4 linked regions of the Oryzias latipes genome follow. The protein of the gene in region 3 purifies or fractionates together with the protein of the main gene of each other region. This does not show direct contact. Links are inferred from orthologs where the notes say so. Each region holds a gene or a part of one and is shown on either strand. Other genes may lie near its edges. The genes, in order: c1qbp, ncbp1, THO complex subunit 4 and upf1.

Region 1 (4,056 bases), on a different chromosome or scaffold from region 3:
CTAACTTACAGTGGTATCAAGTCAATAACATGGAAATTATGGGAGTTTTTTTAGTAACATTTTGCATCATTTCTGGCCTTTTTTCAACAGCAGAATTTCCATCCACATAAGAATGCAAACTTATCTACAGCCACTACCTTTAAAAAGGTTTAGTAAAGATAGATACATAAAAGCTCTTGGTCTATATTTACATGTATGTATATATGTAAAATTCAAATAATTAAATTATATGTGAAATAGTCAAGATAATTACAACATTTATCAGGAATTCATGGTAACATTATCTGTGCTAAATTCACAGAAGCTACTGTGTTCATAAAGAAAAGTTAAAAAAAGAAACTTAAAAAAAAACACCACTAAACTCACCCTTTAGGTCTGAATAATTTCCTTCAAAAATGTGGGGACATAAATCTCTCAAGTTGCTTTTGTGCTTTTGTACTGTCTTTAGGGAAGTCTGACAACAAAGAGACTTTTTTTTTCAAACTGATTCCTTAAAAAAAAAAAAAAAAAGTGCGGTCACAGTCGCAACCGATAGTTTGTAAATTAGCAGATTCAGTCCAAACCGTTACAGAATTTCCTAACTTAGAAAACAGTAGTTTCCATGGTGAACACATTTTTTTATAGAATAGAAAATAATCTTTTTACATATATTTATATATATATATTTAGCAAATTTTCGTGGCTTTGATAAAGGGGTTTAAAAAGCATATAAATTTATCTTAAAAAATGAATTGGCTGTATAGTGGGCGTTGAATGGTTTAAAAACATGTCAGACAGCACCATCTGATGGCAGCAAGACTACAATTTCAATATATATTGTCGCAAAGGATGATGCAATGTTTCTACATGACGGGCCTCTACCGGTTGAGATTGTATTGATATTTCTTATTTAATCAAATTTTATTTCACTTGTATGTGCTGTCGAGTTTATTATAAATAAATAAAGAACTCCCGCCACTAAAGAAGGCAGACAATCTCTAATAAAACATTCACATCGAAGACACAGGGGGGCGCCACTGAAAATGCACTACGTTTTTTAAAAGTGCATCATATTTTTTCAGCTATTTTTTAAAAATGTTTTTCCATTTAATTTTACCATCCTATTTTACCATCATATATAATCAGTTAGTGTTTAGTGTTTAGTAAAGTAAAGTCAACTATTTGATATAAAACTAATGTTTACTGAACTAAGTACTACTTCCGGTTCAGGGGTCATAGTTACGCTAGGTCAATGTGCCCTTCCACACGTGTTGCCGGTGTCTTCTAGAAGCGTTCCTGGTAGTACGTCGGTGCCTGCGTGTTCTTATTTTTCTCTCTTCTTTAAACAGTTTATAGTATCATGCTAAAGTCTCTGGTCCGCGCGGTGGGAGCTGCTGTTCGGCTGTCCTCGGCACCATCCGCTGCTGCACGGGCTCTGCCGCTCAGCTGTCCGACCAACCGCTCTCCTGGTTCGGTTGCATCTCGGCCCTTCACCCGCTCCCTGTGGATGTTGAACAGTAACGGAGCCCCGTCGGGATACAGACCTAAACTGTTCAGCTCAAAAGTACTAAGTCCGTCTGTGTCGTGTGGATGTGGAGGGCTGCACACGGAAGGTAGCTGAACGTCCGCATGTTTTTGTTTCATTTATCTAAAAAAAAAAGAGAACCTGTAAACACAAGTTTGGGTTATTTAAAGCAGCAAAACAGCTTAAGTTGCTTACAAAATTGAAAGACACGTGGCGGTTAATTGGGGTTTTAGACGACACGGCGAGCGTGCTGCATCCTGGTTTAGGAGCTAAAGAGCTGACATCACTTTGGCAGGCAAAGCTTTAGATGATAAACAATCAACTGATGTTTTAACTTGTCGCTTAGCAACAGTACTGCTAATTTCCAGACTTCACAAACTATTTGAATTTTACAGTGACCCGATTTTCCTCATTAAAAGTGCTTGTTTTTATTTCTTTTTTTTTTTTCTTTACTCCTTCCACTCGGCAGAAATTGCTCCTGGAAAACGACACAGGTTTTATAAAGATTTGGCTAAAAACGTCAAAATTATTATTTTTAAAAAAACCCCACTGTGAACGCTTTTACAATCGAGCGGGAGGTGATTGGAGTGGAGCTTTTAACATTTTAAACTAATCACAAGTGAAGAGTCCCTTTATATTTACATCTGTATTTACTCAGTCAGCATTTGTTTTTTTGAATATTCCGCTGGTGTGTTATCCATCAACACTTAAAGATTCTACACGATGTAGGTATTTTGTATGTAATTGTGTAACAATTGTTTCAGATAATGCATTTTATCAAGTTTTTTCACCTCTAACTTGTCACATGTTTAAACATAAAACATTAAGGTTCACTGATAAGTTTTTCCAAATCCCCTCTGCCGAAGCCAATAGTTTACTCATATAAAGTTATGTTGTCATCCCATCCTGTGTGAAATGTGGATTCATGTTTTTTATCAAGTTGTCCATTCTACATCACACAGTTTCACCTAAATCTGTTGTCTTTTTCTCAGGAGACAAAGCGTTTGGTAACTTCCTGTCCGATGAAATCAAAGAGGAAAAGAAGATCCAGAAAAACAAAACCCTTCCTAAGATGTCTGGAGGATGGGAGCTTGAGATGAACGGCACAGAGGCCAAACTCACAAGACACCTTTCTGGTGAAAAGTAAGGCGATGGCTCACTCTCTGAGGACAAAGTGACCGTGTAGGAGTTCCTGCAAAGCAGCTTTTATTTTCTGTCTTCAGAGTGACGGTCACATTCAACGTTAACAACAGCATCCCTCCAAGCTTTGAGGAGGAGGAGGAAGCGCAGCAGCAGCAGAAACCAGCAGAGGAAGAGGTGAAGCTTTCGAATTACCTTCTAGATTTGTGATCTTATCATTTATTTATGCTCACTAGTTGTTGTTTTCCTTTGTAGCCAGAGATTGTATCTACGCCAAACTTTGTTGTTGAAGTAACAAAACAGAATGGGAAGCACACGCTCGTGTTTGACTGTCATTTCCCTGAGGATGAGGTATGAATTAAAACGAAGAAAGAAAGAAAAACTTCTGGATGAAGTGGTTAGGTAAAAAGGTGCCGACTTTATCCAATGTAGATGAGTCATGGTGAGGGGGAGGAGGAGAGCGACATCTTTGCCATCCGGGAGGTCAGCTTTCAGCCAGAGGGAGACTCTGAGTGGAAGGAGACCAGCTACACCCTCAACACAGACTCCCTGGACTGGGTAAGAGCTGCTGTGAACCATGAGCACACGGGGGGTCATGAAGGTGGGATGTTCTCAACTCTGCTGGGTTCTTTTTAGGCGCTGTACGATCATTTGATGGACTTCCTGGCCGACCGCGGCATTGATAACACCTTCACAGACGAGCTCATGGAGCTCAGCACTGCCATAGAGCACCAAGAGTACATCAAGTTCCTGGAAGATCTCCAAAGCTTTGTCAAATGTAACTAATATTTAACTTAACTGTCTGTTCTCCAGATGAAATTTCAAAGGACTAAAGCACTCAAGACTCATGTTTGGCACCCGGCAACAAGAATGTTGCTTGTTTTTCTGTAACTTCAATAGAAATATTTGTCAGCCATAGTGATCATTTAGTTTCTCAGCCTCTATTTTACATCTCATGTCCCCTTTAAATGTGTAAACGTTCAATCAAGACCTGTTCTAAAGCTAATAAAGAGAATTGTCAGTTTTCATTCGAGAATTTGTCACATTCTGAGGTTTTACTTTAGGAAGTTTTTATGTTTATTGAGGAACATTGACATTTTGTTGGTGGCTTAAAAACAAAATAAATACACACAAATTCCACACAGAACCAATTCAAGGTTTTAGATCATAATCATCACCTTACATTTTTCTCAATACAGTAAAACTTGAACAAGTTCAGATGCTTCAAAACTGAAATTATTTGAAAGATTCTTTATAATTTAGAAATGAATAGAACTGTTTAAAGGAAACAAATGGAAAAACAATATTAAACTGTTTATGTGCAATAGAGGTTGATCAAACCTTAAGCTCCTCCTAAGAAGCAACCCCGCCCCCCTTCCTCCCAGCTATTTCCCACGCTACAAATAAGCTCT
Region 2 (4,244 bases), on a different chromosome or scaffold from region 3:
ATTTACCTCAATCAAGCAAATGTATTCTGTTTCAAATACTTCCAGAAATATATGGTTTCCAAAAAAGTTGGACCGACTAAAGGAGTTTCTAAATGTGATGTCTTGAATCATCATCATCATCATCATCATCATTGAGGTTCACGTCAATATTTACGTAATGAGCCAAATTTTGGCCTGTCAATACTCTGATCAAGCCTGAAATATATTACATATCTATAAATGATTTAAGCATTGATTTACATCTATTTGGTCCGGTAAACGGTAATAATCTGTTTATGACAAAAACAGGGAAGAATTTTATATGTCTAAAGTGACAATTTAAAAGAAGCAACAAATTTTTTTTTATGTATTTGTTTGTTTGTGACATCAAACACTAAAAAAAAGCCTCTCTGCAAATTTACCAGTTGGCCAAAAGCCCCCCCCCCTCTATTTGTTGTCCCAGGACAGAAGGTAAATGTGCCTCACTAAATATAAAGTAATCATTTAATGAACGCCTGGTGAAAGGTGAGTTTTCAACTGTAAAATGGTCAAATATGTTTTTAACTACAGGATCTATTTCTAAATTGTTGTGCCTTTTTTATGTTGTTTGTTTTGGTGTAAAGCACTTTGTGTTATCATGTTCTAGAATTATATAAATTTTACATAAATAAAGATTGATTAGATTTGATACACAGAAAAACAAAAACAAATACCAAAGATATTCTCTAACTTTCATGTCTTGAATACCTTAGGTAGTAATAATATTACTACCTAGTAGTAATAATATTACTAATATATAAAAGATGCAAACTGCCCAGAATTGGGTCAGAATCAATATTTAGTTTAGATTAGTTTAGTCATTTTTTATTCTGTTTTCAATCATTCTGCGTTGTCTTTGTGGAAAGAGAAGCCAGATATTCTCCTACCTTTCTCCTGCAGAACCTGTAATATTTTCTGTGAGCAGCAGAAATGTGTTTGTTTTGCTTAATTGATCCATGATCAACCATCGACGTGTTGACCTCCCAGTTCAGAAACTCTGAGCAGACTGCTTCACTGGCTGCCATTCTCCTCAACTGGCAAATTAAATGCACGACAAATATGTTTGTGATCGTAAAAAACGCAACTTTGTGATAGAACGCGTAAATACTGACAAAAAGAGAGATATAAGTTCTCAAACGCGGTAAATACCCTTGTATTTCCATGCGAGTGTGCAGCTCACCGGAAGTGGAAGTTCAGCTTCCGGTTGTACCTTGAATGACCCGGATGTCCATCATTTCAATCGCTCCGCTGTTATTTCTCTGTAAGAAGCTGCTGTTGCTGCTGCTGCCGCCTCCGGACTCTGCCGTTCAAAATAAGCAAAGCTTTTCCCGGATCCACCGGTCTGTCCCGCGTTATTTTTTTTACACCGGGTGTCTGCACGCGTGCAGCTCAGGGGGGACAACATGTCCAGGAGGAGACACAGCGACGACAGTGACGGCAAGTCGCGCGCTGCATGTGCGATTCAAACGTTACGGCTAACGCGGCAGCTAGCTACAGCTACCTTGATTATCTGTATGTGCTATAACTTTAAAGGAATGCAACGATAGCAGGCGTTGCCCCAATATCAAGTATTTTTTTAAAGCTACTAAATAAATTAGGGGATTTTAAAAAATGATTTTTAAGAGATTAAGTTTTACCAGAAAAACCCGGTTCCGTTAGTTAGCTACTTTAGCTAACGCTAACGGCCAGATTTATGTTTTATAACGGTTTCTGGCACACAAAACACATTTAATGTTTGTAAAGACTGGCGTAAGTGTTGAAAGAGACACTTTTTCTGTGGGTTCATCATCATGCGCATGGAAACGTGATGTTACAGCCCTGTGGATTTTGTGATTTATAAAGGAACATTCACAACCAAAGTGTCTCACGGTTCCACACTAAAAAAATATCAGACCTAACAATATTTTTATATAATGTAGGATTAGTTTAGTATGTATTTGTCATTGTATGTATAAATGACTTCTATTGGCTTCCATTGAGTGTTTACCTTTCATTCAGAGATTTCAGTAAGGAGAGAATCAGCAAGGCAAGTTTATTTCTTAAGCACATTTTATGTACAAAGGCAATTCAAGGTCCTTTACATAAAACACTAAAAGAAAAATTTAACAGAAATATTAAAGGAGTTATCACCAAAATAAAAATTTAAAGAACTGAAGTAAATACCAACCTGCATTTAAATAAACTGAGTGTTTCAGCTGATCCAAGGCTTAATTCTGGTAGTCTGTTCCAGATCTACAGAGCATAGAAGCTGAATGCAGCTTCTTCGTGTTTGATTTCGACTCTAGGTACTGACGAAAGAGCAGATCCAGATTACCGGACAGGTCAGAACTGGACTGATGTGGTCTAATATTTGGCTCCTTTGAAGGACCCGAGCAGCAGAGTTCTGAATACGCTGCCGTATCGTCCAGCAAAAACACTGGAACAGTAGTCAAGTCGACTAAAGATCGACTTAACACATAAACAAGTTTGGCCAAGTCCTGCTTAGACATCAGATCTTTATTTTAACCAGATGAAATTATCTCAAAGCGATGTTAAAAAGATGGGTTTTGTGCTTCTTCTGAAAAATCTCTACGGTCTCTGAGGCTCTCCGGCAGGCTGACGTCCAACTGTTTGTCTTTAGCCCTAGACACAATATTCTCCATTTTTCTTCTGTTTACCTAAAGTATATAGGAGGAAACCTCCAGTAAAGTCAGATGGAGTATGTGTGACTGTCGAAACACTAGATTTTATGAGACGAATACACTATTTTCCCCCCAAAACGTAGATTTGTTTTTCTGTCTTCAGTGTCCTCTCAGGTCAGAGGTTTAAGTTCTGTCCTTTTCATTTTTAGGAGGTCAAGCCCACAAAAGGAGGAGAACATCAGAGCCTATTGAGATTGAAGACCGCCTGGAGTCGCTGATATGTCGCGTTGGAGAAAAAGTACGATGGCCGTTTTGTCATAAAGCCATATATTTACTATTTAAATAATTTGCAATAACTAAAGTCCGTCTTTGATCTTTTAAAAGAGTACATCGTCCCTCGAGAGCAACCTGGAGGGGCTCGCAGGGGTTTTGGAGGCGGACCTTCCAAACTACAAAAACAAAATCCTGCGTATTTTATGTGCAGTGTAAGTTGTCCGCAGTTCTCCTCATTCTCAAGCGTAACAAACGGTCCGTTTTCACAAACGCGTCTTTCGACAGAGCCCGCCTCCTGCCGGAGAAGCTGACAGTCTACACGACGTTAGTCGGCCTCCTGAACGCCAGGAACTACAACTTTGGGGGAGAGTTTGTGGAGGCCATGATCCGGCAGCTGAAGGAGACGCTGAAAAACAACTTCTACAACGAAGCCGTTTACTTGGTCTGTTGATGTTCAATGTCTAAACTCGCAGCTGCTGCAGCGCCTTTTGCTCTCGGCATCGTTTAAGTTCTCTGCTCTCTTCAGGTGCGCTTTCTGTCAGACTTGGTCAACTGTCACGTGATCGCTGCCCCTTCCATGGTAGCCATGTTTGAAAACTTCATCAGTGTTACTCAGGAAGAAGATGTGCCACAGGTTTGTTTCTGCACGGCCTCACCTGGAATATTTGTTTGCATCAGAAGTTTCAGTTTATGAACATCCCGTTCTTTTTTTACTTAATGTCACATTTAAGGCGCCTCCTTTTGTTTTACTGCAACGTCTGAGTTTCCCCATTTCAAATTCAGCAAACTCCTTTATTTTTGTATCATCTGATGTTCTCAATGACGACTCAAAATTCCATGACTTGGTTTTGGGAGAACTGCAGTCCAATCAAAAATAAAAATGATTGTTTTCTGTGTAAAAATAGTTTTAGATTTATACAAAAACGATTTTTCAGCTTCTCAATTTGACTTGAAGATGAAGATCAGTAAGCGTGAGACCCTTTTGGCTCCAGGTTCGGTTGGACTGGTTCGTGTACGTGGTTCTGTCCTGCCTGCCGTGGGTCGGCAAGGAACTTTATGAGAAGAAGGACGTGGAGATGGACCGACTCCTGAGCCAGATCGAAGGCTACCTCAAGTGAGACGCGGCCTCTTTTCTGGAGCATCTTTTGCTTTCCATTGAAGCTGTTGTTGGACTGACTCCAGCGCTCTGCTGTGTTCCTGGACAGGAGGAGGGTGAAGACTCACGTCCCCATGCTGCAGGTGTGGACCGCTGAGAAACCACATCCACAGGAAGAGGTGAGCCTTTTGGACAAGCAGGTTTTGAAACGCAAGTCTAAAAAGATGCATTAGAAG
Region 3 (4,322 bases):
AAAAAAATTAAAACAAAAATAAAACACTTGGTAAAAAACACTTTGGAGTATTTAAAAGAAGAGGTTGGAACAATTTCAATCACATCAGAAGACAAGTGTAAAATATTCTGCACATCTGTAACAAGCACCCCTTTCTGTGCAGACAGGGAGGGATGACGTCAACTAGGATGGGAGGTTTCCTTAACTGGTATCCATCTGAGAAAACAAGAGGTGAAACAGAATTAGGACAGCTGCAAAACAACTTCAACAGAAGATGCTTTCTATTTTGACAGATGTACCCTGGCATTGTAAGCATCTAACTGGGCGTCAAGCTCTTCTGCCGATAGCGGTTGCTTGGGGGCACCGCCGCGCCCCCCCCGCCCTCTTCCTCTGGGACCACCTGCACCACGGACCCCTCGGCCTCTTTGCATCCCTCCGAAACCCCGATTTCTACTCATGCCTCCACCACCTCTGTTCATACTGGTAAAACAAAACAAATACACAAAGAAAATGTAATTGGGGTTTACACAACAGCCTGTTTCCAGTTTCCCAAGAATCCATGCTTACTTACCCCTGCATAGGCCGCCTCTGTGTGTCGATCTGTGATGTGACGAGCTGAATGTTCATAGGCCGCCCTAAACACAAATTAGGCTTTAATCTTGGGAAGATCAACTAATATTTAAATGTATTTATCTAATTAAATAAATCTGTAATAAAGTAGAAGAATACCATCAAGAGGAATGCCATTGTACTGTTTCATGGCTTTCAGGGCATCTGCCCTCCTTTCAAAGTGGACATCTGCCGTTCCAAGGCTTCTTCCTGATCTGTCGTAATGAACTGCAGCTTTCTTTAGAGTCCCAAATTCAGCAAAGAGTTCCTTCGATAAAAAAAAAAAAAGTCAAAACTAAGTCATCAATTAAAAAAAAAAAACATCACCATCAGATATGCTAGCTAAGTTGTACCTGGATGTCTGCGTCTGACACCCCAAAGTCCAGATTGGAGACGAGGAGCTTTCCTCCCGTTTCCACACCAGCTCCTCCGCCACCTCCAGCAGCCCCATTGAAGCCGCTGAAGCCGTTGTCAAACATGTCGTGCTGCCATTTATCGGGAAGCTGTTTGGGCTGCAACAGACGAAAGAGAACGCACCTGCTGACTTCAGGATCCCCTGCCTCTGTCTTTCACAGAGTCCACACGGCTGGGTGTTGGTGCAAGCAGGTGCTCCACTTCCAACACGGCCAGGGTGCTCAGCAGACCCCCCCATGATCCCTGCCCACCCCATCGTTACAATCACGTGAATCACTTCAGACAGAAATACACAAATTTAAAAATAGCTATTTTGGTGTTTTGATACAGAAAATTTCAATGTTTTACTACTTGTAAAGTAAGACAAAAAGCTGACAGATATTTAAACTAATCATTTTCATACATTAACTTTAAAAAATCTTTACATGAACCAAAAATCCGCCCCAAACTAGCTAGCATAACCCCGTCGTTTCTTGCCATCTGCTACTCCACCAACTGCTCTGTCTGTCGACATGCTCCTCAGGCACACGAGGGGGGGTCCCCGGCAGAAGCAGCCTCGCATCCCGCGTTGCGCCGCTTGTCCAGGCTCACAACAGTCCTTTGTCAGGCCACAATTCGACTTTCATGAAGAAATGTCTTTAGGATGTTACAGGTGAAGAACATTTTGGGGGGAAAGAAGCCGATAGCCCCCTTTTTAGTGCGTGGAGTACGCGGACGTCCATTTTGAAACCACGCCATTTTGATCGGGGCTTTGTTTGGGTTGCATTTATATTCATTCACACCCCAGGAGTGAAGATTGGGCTTCTTTTTACAAAAAAAAAAAAAAAAATAAAGGAAATTTGAGGGGATTAAGTATGAGTCCACGTATCCATCCATATGTGACATTTGGTGAAAAGCCTTTTGGGTGGGATTTTAAGAAACCCCGTCAGCCATTCCTGGGACAAAAGGCCGCCTTGAAGATGTAGCAGGACGTTGGAAGGAATGTGATTCCGTAGCAATGGAAAAAACGTGCAGGAACCTTCTCAGCGATGTAGGCATCCTTTTCTTTCCAGACCATTACGACACTTGGGGTAAAACATCATTTTGACGCCAAATTGTATTCGAGGTTGTTGGATTCAAAATGGCGCTGAGACCTTCACGATCCGGCAGGTTAGCCAATGTGGCTAACATAGTCGCTCCTCAAGCAGCTTCTTCTTGAAAAGTGGTGCGACACATATAGGTTGTGGGAGAAGGGACATATTATGCAAACAACCTCCATTTATGCTTATCCACAAACTATAGAGCTCTCCTCTAAGGGAAACTCAGCGGTAAGCAACCATTTTAATGGCTTGACTAGCTAGGTGATTAGCCGTCAAGCCAAATGGAGAAAAGAAGACGTAAACCAGGAATTTTCAGCTTTGACGAAGGTTTTTTTCCTTCCAATGCCCATTCGTCTAACTTTCTCATACCCTGCTATAAGGCGTTGGTCTGCCTCTAGCGCGGCTCAGGTTCTGTCGGGTCCTCATGGGGCCTGATCCTCCGCCTCGGCCTCCAAATCCGCCGCCGCCACCACCAAGACGCCCAAGGCCTCCTCCACGGGCACCGCCTGAGCCTCCGCGGCCTCGGCCTCTTCCCCCACGGGCTCCGCCTCTACTCTGCCTGTTCAGCTTGATAATGTCGTCTAGAGACATATCCATCTTATCCGCCATTATGCTGCCCCGATAACTCTAAAGCACTGTAAAGATTTAAATTGTCTTAAAACACCCTGGACTAAGCTGTTCCCTCTCTTCGTCCGTAGATTTACGCTCTCTGGTCCAAGTACTAAGCACAATGAAAAGCGCCCACAAGCTGTAGAAAAGCTGATTGGTTGGAGAACACGTACTCTTGACGTCATTACGTTAAAAACTACAACAACTCTTTACCGCCCTCTACTGGAAACTAAAACATTATTCCTAAAAAACGCCATACATGGGTGTGTTCAGTTCATAGTAACACTAAAAGAAGCAATCAAAGCATTAAATCAAACACTTTTAACTATATCTCTATAACGAAACTGAATAACATAAAAAAAAATACTTTTAGACTTTAAATTACATTGAAAACAAATAGGCTAAGGCACTTCTTTAAACAAACAAAAATGTGGTTTCATATTTCAAATGAAATTTGTATTGAATTGATTTTTTATTTAGATGTGACTATGACCTAAAGAAAACTTTCTTAGTTTGATCAAGAAACGTTATTATAATGAATGCTTAAATTGGACAACACCCTGAACTCTCAATATGCATATTATAAATACAAATTGGATCTCTTTTTGATGAGACACGTCAGCAAATCTGCTAAGAAGTTGAAATTAATTTGATCTCAAAAGATTAATTTTGCATAAAAAGATAGCAATTCAAAGTATTATTCAAAATTTTGCTCTTCTTCATACTACAATAAGGATTAAAAAAGCACCCTGCACGAGAATGCATGATTGTATTCTTCCTTCACATTCATTTGAAATATGTAAATAACAAATATAAATGCAACTCTATTGTTTTGATTTGAAGGTAGTAGTATTTTTAAGACCAACAACTTCTTCACCTAATTAGAAAACAAACAAAAAAGAAAGTTTCCCTCTTGTTCTTTTATTGAAACCTTTCCTACATTGATTGTTTCTGAGCTACATGGCTCTGTTTGTCTGTAAACTCTACCTCTGTTAATTGCACGTTATTATAAAGAAATAACAAAAAACTGGTATTGCTGTTATTAATAAAAAAAGCAAAAGAATTACTTTCCTAATAATTGTGGGTGTAAAAAAAGTGAAAATCAAAGATATAATCAATCTGTAAAGCTAAACTACAAATACAGTTATGTATATTTAAAAATAGCTGAATTTTAGTGGGGTGGGGGATATACTGGGGAGTTTTTAACCTCTTATTTATGATCGTTTTCCATACTTTTAGCTAACGTTTGTTCCGAGGAAAAAAACAGCCTAACACTGATTACTGTTCATTGTATTATAACAAACATACATGAGTGTCAAACCAAGCAGAAGTTCTGTAAAAGTCTTTTATTCAACATTTTGCTTCCAAGGCTTAGAGGAAGGAGATAAGAGCTGCATTCCTGCATTCACTACTCAACAATGTCCATCCCAGGGCAAGAAAAATGTATAATAATAATAATAATAATAAAAAAAATGTTGGCCTTCCACATTGTATTTTGGTTTCCAAAACAAGCCCACTAAGAGGATATCCATTGAGATCATTCTACTGTTTATCAATTGGTTTTCCAAAAAATAAAAACAGAAGTCAGCCCTTTCATATTTTCTTTCAAAGTCATCAGGGTACATTTGGTAG
Region 4 (3,561 bases), on a different chromosome or scaffold from region 3:
GGCCAGACCAAAAACCCCTTAAGAGTACATAATGTTCTGTCTACCATCAATCATAGTACAAATGCTGAGCTGTCTTACCATGAGCAGCTCCCTCTCAGCTGTGCGCTTCAGAGCCCTGTAACGTTTCTCATCTGCAGACGACAGCTCTCCAGTCTCATCCTTCAGCTGCTGCAGTTTCTGAAGCTCTGGCATACTGTGGAAACCAAGAGAGATAACTCAGTGACTCAAAAGGTCCTGAACTGAATGTACAGTGGCAGGCACACACTGCAACAGTAACCTAAGATCAGGATAAACGAATGGATTTGACTATCAAGTTAAAACTGTAATCCAACTGCCTGCTCTCAAAAAGAAACATAGATTTGCACAATTTAAAACATAAGGAAATCTTTCAAAATTTAACTTGATTTGGGAGGATAGGCTTAATACATTAAAAAGGTACATCAAAATGACAAAAGGTTGTAAAAAATTATCAAAGCCCAAAAACATTCCCAGCAGGACTTGTATAAAAAACATTTTTAAGATTTTTAACAAAGATCCGCTCCAAAGGAAAATTTGTTTTTAACATGTTTTTGTAGAATTTTTCTCATGGAAGACATACAAAAAGGAATTTACGATTAAAACTACATTTCTGAGTATTTCTTTATTCAAACCGCGATGAATCAAGAGATTAATAAATGCCATTTGAAAAACATAGACACTGCAATGGGCGAGCTAAAGTCTCACTGCTACGCTCCATTCCAATACATCCACTAGCAGATCCAATAACGTTTTCATTTTCCTCGTCTGAGCTGGAATCTGGCTCAAAACGGGATGGCTGAATAGATCCGATATTGCTCGCCATTTTTGATGCACCGCTAATGTTAGGTTGGGGTTGTGATGGGCTGTAAGCCAGCGGGCGAGTGCAAACAAAGGGATCTTACTTCCACACCATCAGTCTCAAACACAACTAAGAGGCGAGTTTCTGATGAACTCTTACCGCGTAACAGAAACTCTTAGAAAATGACACATTTTTGGATTTAGGCTAAAATCGGCACAATCATATTGAAAAGACTTCTGGTAACACTTAGATCAAAAGATGAGGATTCCCTTGAAAAAGAGATTCTTAATCTCAATGGGACATTTCCTGGGTAAATAAAGGTTCAATAAAAAATAAAGAAAATGAGTGGACTGTACTTTAACTTCTTGTCTGTGTGCCGCTCACCTGTCCATGTTGCTGATCTGGTTGTGGAGAGCCAGGAAAGACACTGGTGACTCGATGGCTTCTCTGCTCTTAGCACACAGCCTGACAACCTTCAGACCAGTCTTATCAATCTTTTCAGTGAGCTGATCTACAGCTATGTTACTTGGAGCACACACCAGGACTGGCCTAAAAGGACACAAGCACCCATAAAAGCACAATGAGGGATTTATGTAAATGTTTTTGGGAATATTTTTAGATTTGCATAACATTTCTATGCTTGAAGAAGTTTGTTGATTGTGATGGTCCTACCCGTTGCCCTGACGGGATAGGTGGTACACAATTGTGGCAGAAGTGACAGTTTTCCCAGTGCCAGGAGGACCCTGGATTAAACTCAGAGGCCTTTGCAACACTGTCTTTACTGCGTAGACCTGTTTGGGAGGAAAAGGGCAGAAGAGAAAATGAATTATCCGTAATCTTGGCACTTGTAGCAACTAATATTTGGTCTTGTTCTAAAGAAGTCACAAGCCCCACAAAATTTCAAAAACCAAAGGTAAATGACCGTGCTTGAAGGGCATATGACAACAAAAATGACAGTGAATGGGAGTATTGCCCTGAAATGAGTTAAAATTTAACAGCAAGAATCATAGTATCAGCAGAAAGCCAGACTGACCTGCGAGTGATTGAGGTCAGGAAGGCCCTGAGCGGTGAAACGCTTCGGCAGTTGGCACTTGATGGTAACGTCCTCCACCTCGTGGCCCAAAAGTTTGTGATAAATGTAGCCAGAGACCGATGTCTCGTCAACAGCAAAGGTCTTCAGGGCACTCTGCATCCTAAAGGGGTGCAAAAAAAAAAAAAAAGAGTCAACTTAGGAAATACTTGGAATGGAAATCTTCTTACAAATAAAAAAAGAAAAATTAAGGTCACATTACATCCTGTAACATAAAACTTCCTAAATTTTAAGTGTTTTGTCTCATTTGGAGTTCATGGCAGGGCATTTGAGTGTACCTGTCGAAGGAGGTGGATTTCCACACAAAGTCCACCTGGAAGTTATGTGGGATTTCCACAGGAGCTCCAACGCTGCTCCTCAATTCAATAGCAATTTCATCCCCATAGTCTTCAAGCACACGCTGTTAAAGAAACTCTTTTATAGCTATAGTGACGCTGCTGATTTTAAAGAGGGAAATTGTGATGGAAGTCAGTGTGATGCAGCAGATATTCTGCAGCAGTGTAAAGGATACTGTCAGGGACTTTGATGACATGGCCGATGCCCTTCCACAAAGGCGCCAGGTCTCCCTTGTAACGCAGGCAGATCTCATCACCTTGCATTAGGCGCATATCTAGGATGGAAACCATGGTGGGAAATAAATTGCAAAATTTAAAATGAAGTAGAAAAAAAACAAAGTTAATACTTGCAAATAACCAAATAACACAGCAGAATAAAAAAAACTACACAAAAACATACCAGAGTCTGTCTTGGGCAGTGTAAAATATGCAATGCGCTTCTTGTTCAGCCCCAGGTCCCACCTGACTGTTATGTTGTCTTGAGTCTAGAAAAAAAGAAAGAAGTATAACTGATTATAAATAATATATTATAATATTATAATATTTATTATAATATTAAAATTATAATAAAGAAAAATGCTGCCAGATTGCAACTCCAAAGTGGAATTGTTTCCACATTAACTGTTATACAAGAGAAAACAGGAAGTCCAAATGATCCTTGTAGCTCTGTTTTTATTGCAAAAACAGCCCCTTAAATGACTAATTTTTATTGAGCCACTATTACTTGGTCAATCAGTCACCTGTGACTCCTTCAGCTTCTTGTCATAATCAGCCTCCAGCTTGACCAAAGGACCAAAGATGTTTTGGTACTGGTAAGCATCCTCATAACGCAGCAGCACATGCTGGGGCTCCTCGTCCACGCCAGGCTTCTCCAGGTCTTCCAGTGCAGCGGTGGGATTGTCCTGTTACCATGGAAACAGAATCAGAACCAATAATAAAACACTGAAATCAGACTGAGTTCATTCTGCTCTAATGAAGTTACTTTTTCCTTTTATTTGGGTTCAACTTTTGTTTAAGCACCCCAAAAGGTGAATCTGCATACCTTCCAGAGTTCCTCCAGCTTATTGATCTGCTGAGCGGTGATCTGACGAGCTCGCAGCTGCTCCTGCTCCGATGGGATCTTCACCAGCCAGGACAGAAAACAGCGGTCCTGAATCAGTGGTTGCCACTGGGAGCTGTCCCAGTTGATGTCCTTTAGGCTACTCTGGCTAGCACAGGGCTGCCTGCATGAACATACACGATTCAGATGAAATTATTTTAAAAATAACCGACAAATAAAAAAATGCACCACTCACAACCTAATGCCTCGCTCAAGATTC

The links.
Region 1: the proteins of THO complex subunit 4 (region 3) and c1qbp purify together in Homo sapiens (affinity purification with mass spectrometry; 3 studies listed by BioGRID and IntAct, with this or other methods). This does not show direct contact. The link is inferred for Oryzias latipes from reciprocal best matches to the Homo sapiens genes ALYREF and C1QBP.
Region 2: the proteins of THO complex subunit 4 (region 3) and ncbp1 purify together in Homo sapiens (affinity purification with western blotting; 6 studies listed by BioGRID and IntAct, with this or other methods). This does not show direct contact. The link is inferred for Oryzias latipes from reciprocal best matches to the Homo sapiens genes ALYREF and NCBP1.
Region 4: the proteins of THO complex subunit 4 (region 3) and upf1 purify together in Homo sapiens (co-immunoprecipitation; 3 studies listed by BioGRID and IntAct, with this or other methods). This does not show direct contact. The link is inferred for Oryzias latipes from reciprocal best matches to the Homo sapiens genes ALYREF and UPF1.

What each region holds. Positions count from the first base shown.
Region 1 is NC_019872.2:21,256,203-21,260,258, forward strand, and holds c1qbp (complement component 1 Q subcomponent-binding protein, mitochondrial), read left to right. Parts: upstream 1-1,208; 5' UTR 1,209-1,339; coding exon 1,340-1,592; intron 1,593-2,496; coding exon 2,497-2,647; intron 2,648-2,727; coding exon 2,728-2,821; intron 2,822-2,899; coding exon 2,900-2,995; intron 2,996-3,076; coding exon 3,077-3,202; intron 3,203-3,280; coding exon 3,281-3,430; 3' UTR 3,431-3,677; downstream 3,678-4,056.
Region 2 is NC_019868.2:27,750,823-27,755,066, forward strand, and holds the start of ncbp1 (nuclear cap-binding protein subunit 1), read left to right. Parts: upstream 1-1,421; coding exon 1,422-1,455; intron 1,456-2,848; coding exon 2,849-2,937; intron 2,938-3,023; coding exon 3,024-3,124; intron 3,125-3,197; coding exon 3,198-3,354; intron 3,355-3,438; coding exon 3,439-3,546; intron 3,547-3,904; coding exon 3,905-4,026; intron 4,027-4,117; coding exon 4,118-4,187; intron 4,188-4,244. Other genes in the region: tstd2 (thiosulfate sulfurtransferase/rhodanese-like domain-containing protein 2), read right to left, coding at 906-1,181. UniProt on the Homo sapiens protein: Component of the cap-binding complex (CBC), which binds cotranscriptionally to the 5'-cap of pre-mRNAs and is involved in various processes such as pre-mRNA splicing, translation regulation, nonsense-mediated mRNA decay, RNA-mediated gene silencing (RNAi) by microRNAs (miRNAs) and mRNA export.
Region 3 is NC_019866.2:15,369,800-15,374,121, forward strand, and holds the start of THO complex subunit 4, read right to left. Parts: upstream 2,838-4,322; 5' UTR 2,691-2,837; coding exon 2,451-2,690; intron 1,101-2,450; coding exon 942-1,100; intron 857-941; coding exon 709-856; intron 615-708; coding exon 551-614; intron 460-550; coding exon 279-459; intron 196-278; coding exon 181-195; 3' UTR 1-180. UniProt on the Homo sapiens protein: Functions as an mRNA export adapter; component of the transcription/export (TREX) complex which is thought to couple mRNA transcription, processing and nuclear export, and specifically associates with spliced mRNA and not with unspliced pre-mRNA.
Region 4 is NC_019862.2:13,852,670-13,856,230, reverse strand, and holds part of upf1 (regulator of nonsense transcripts 1), read right to left. Parts: intron 3,466-3,561; coding exon 3,285-3,465; intron 3,145-3,284; coding exon 2,983-3,144; intron 2,728-2,982; coding exon 2,643-2,727; intron 2,518-2,642; coding exon 2,419-2,517; intron 2,295-2,418; coding exon 2,186-2,294; intron 2,011-2,185; coding exon 1,851-2,010; intron 1,609-1,850; coding exon 1,490-1,608; intron 1,367-1,489; coding exon 1,202-1,366; intron 194-1,201; coding exon 79-193; intron 1-78. UniProt on the Homo sapiens protein: RNA-dependent helicase required for nonsense-mediated decay (NMD) of aberrant mRNAs containing premature stop codons and modulates the expression level of normal mRNAs.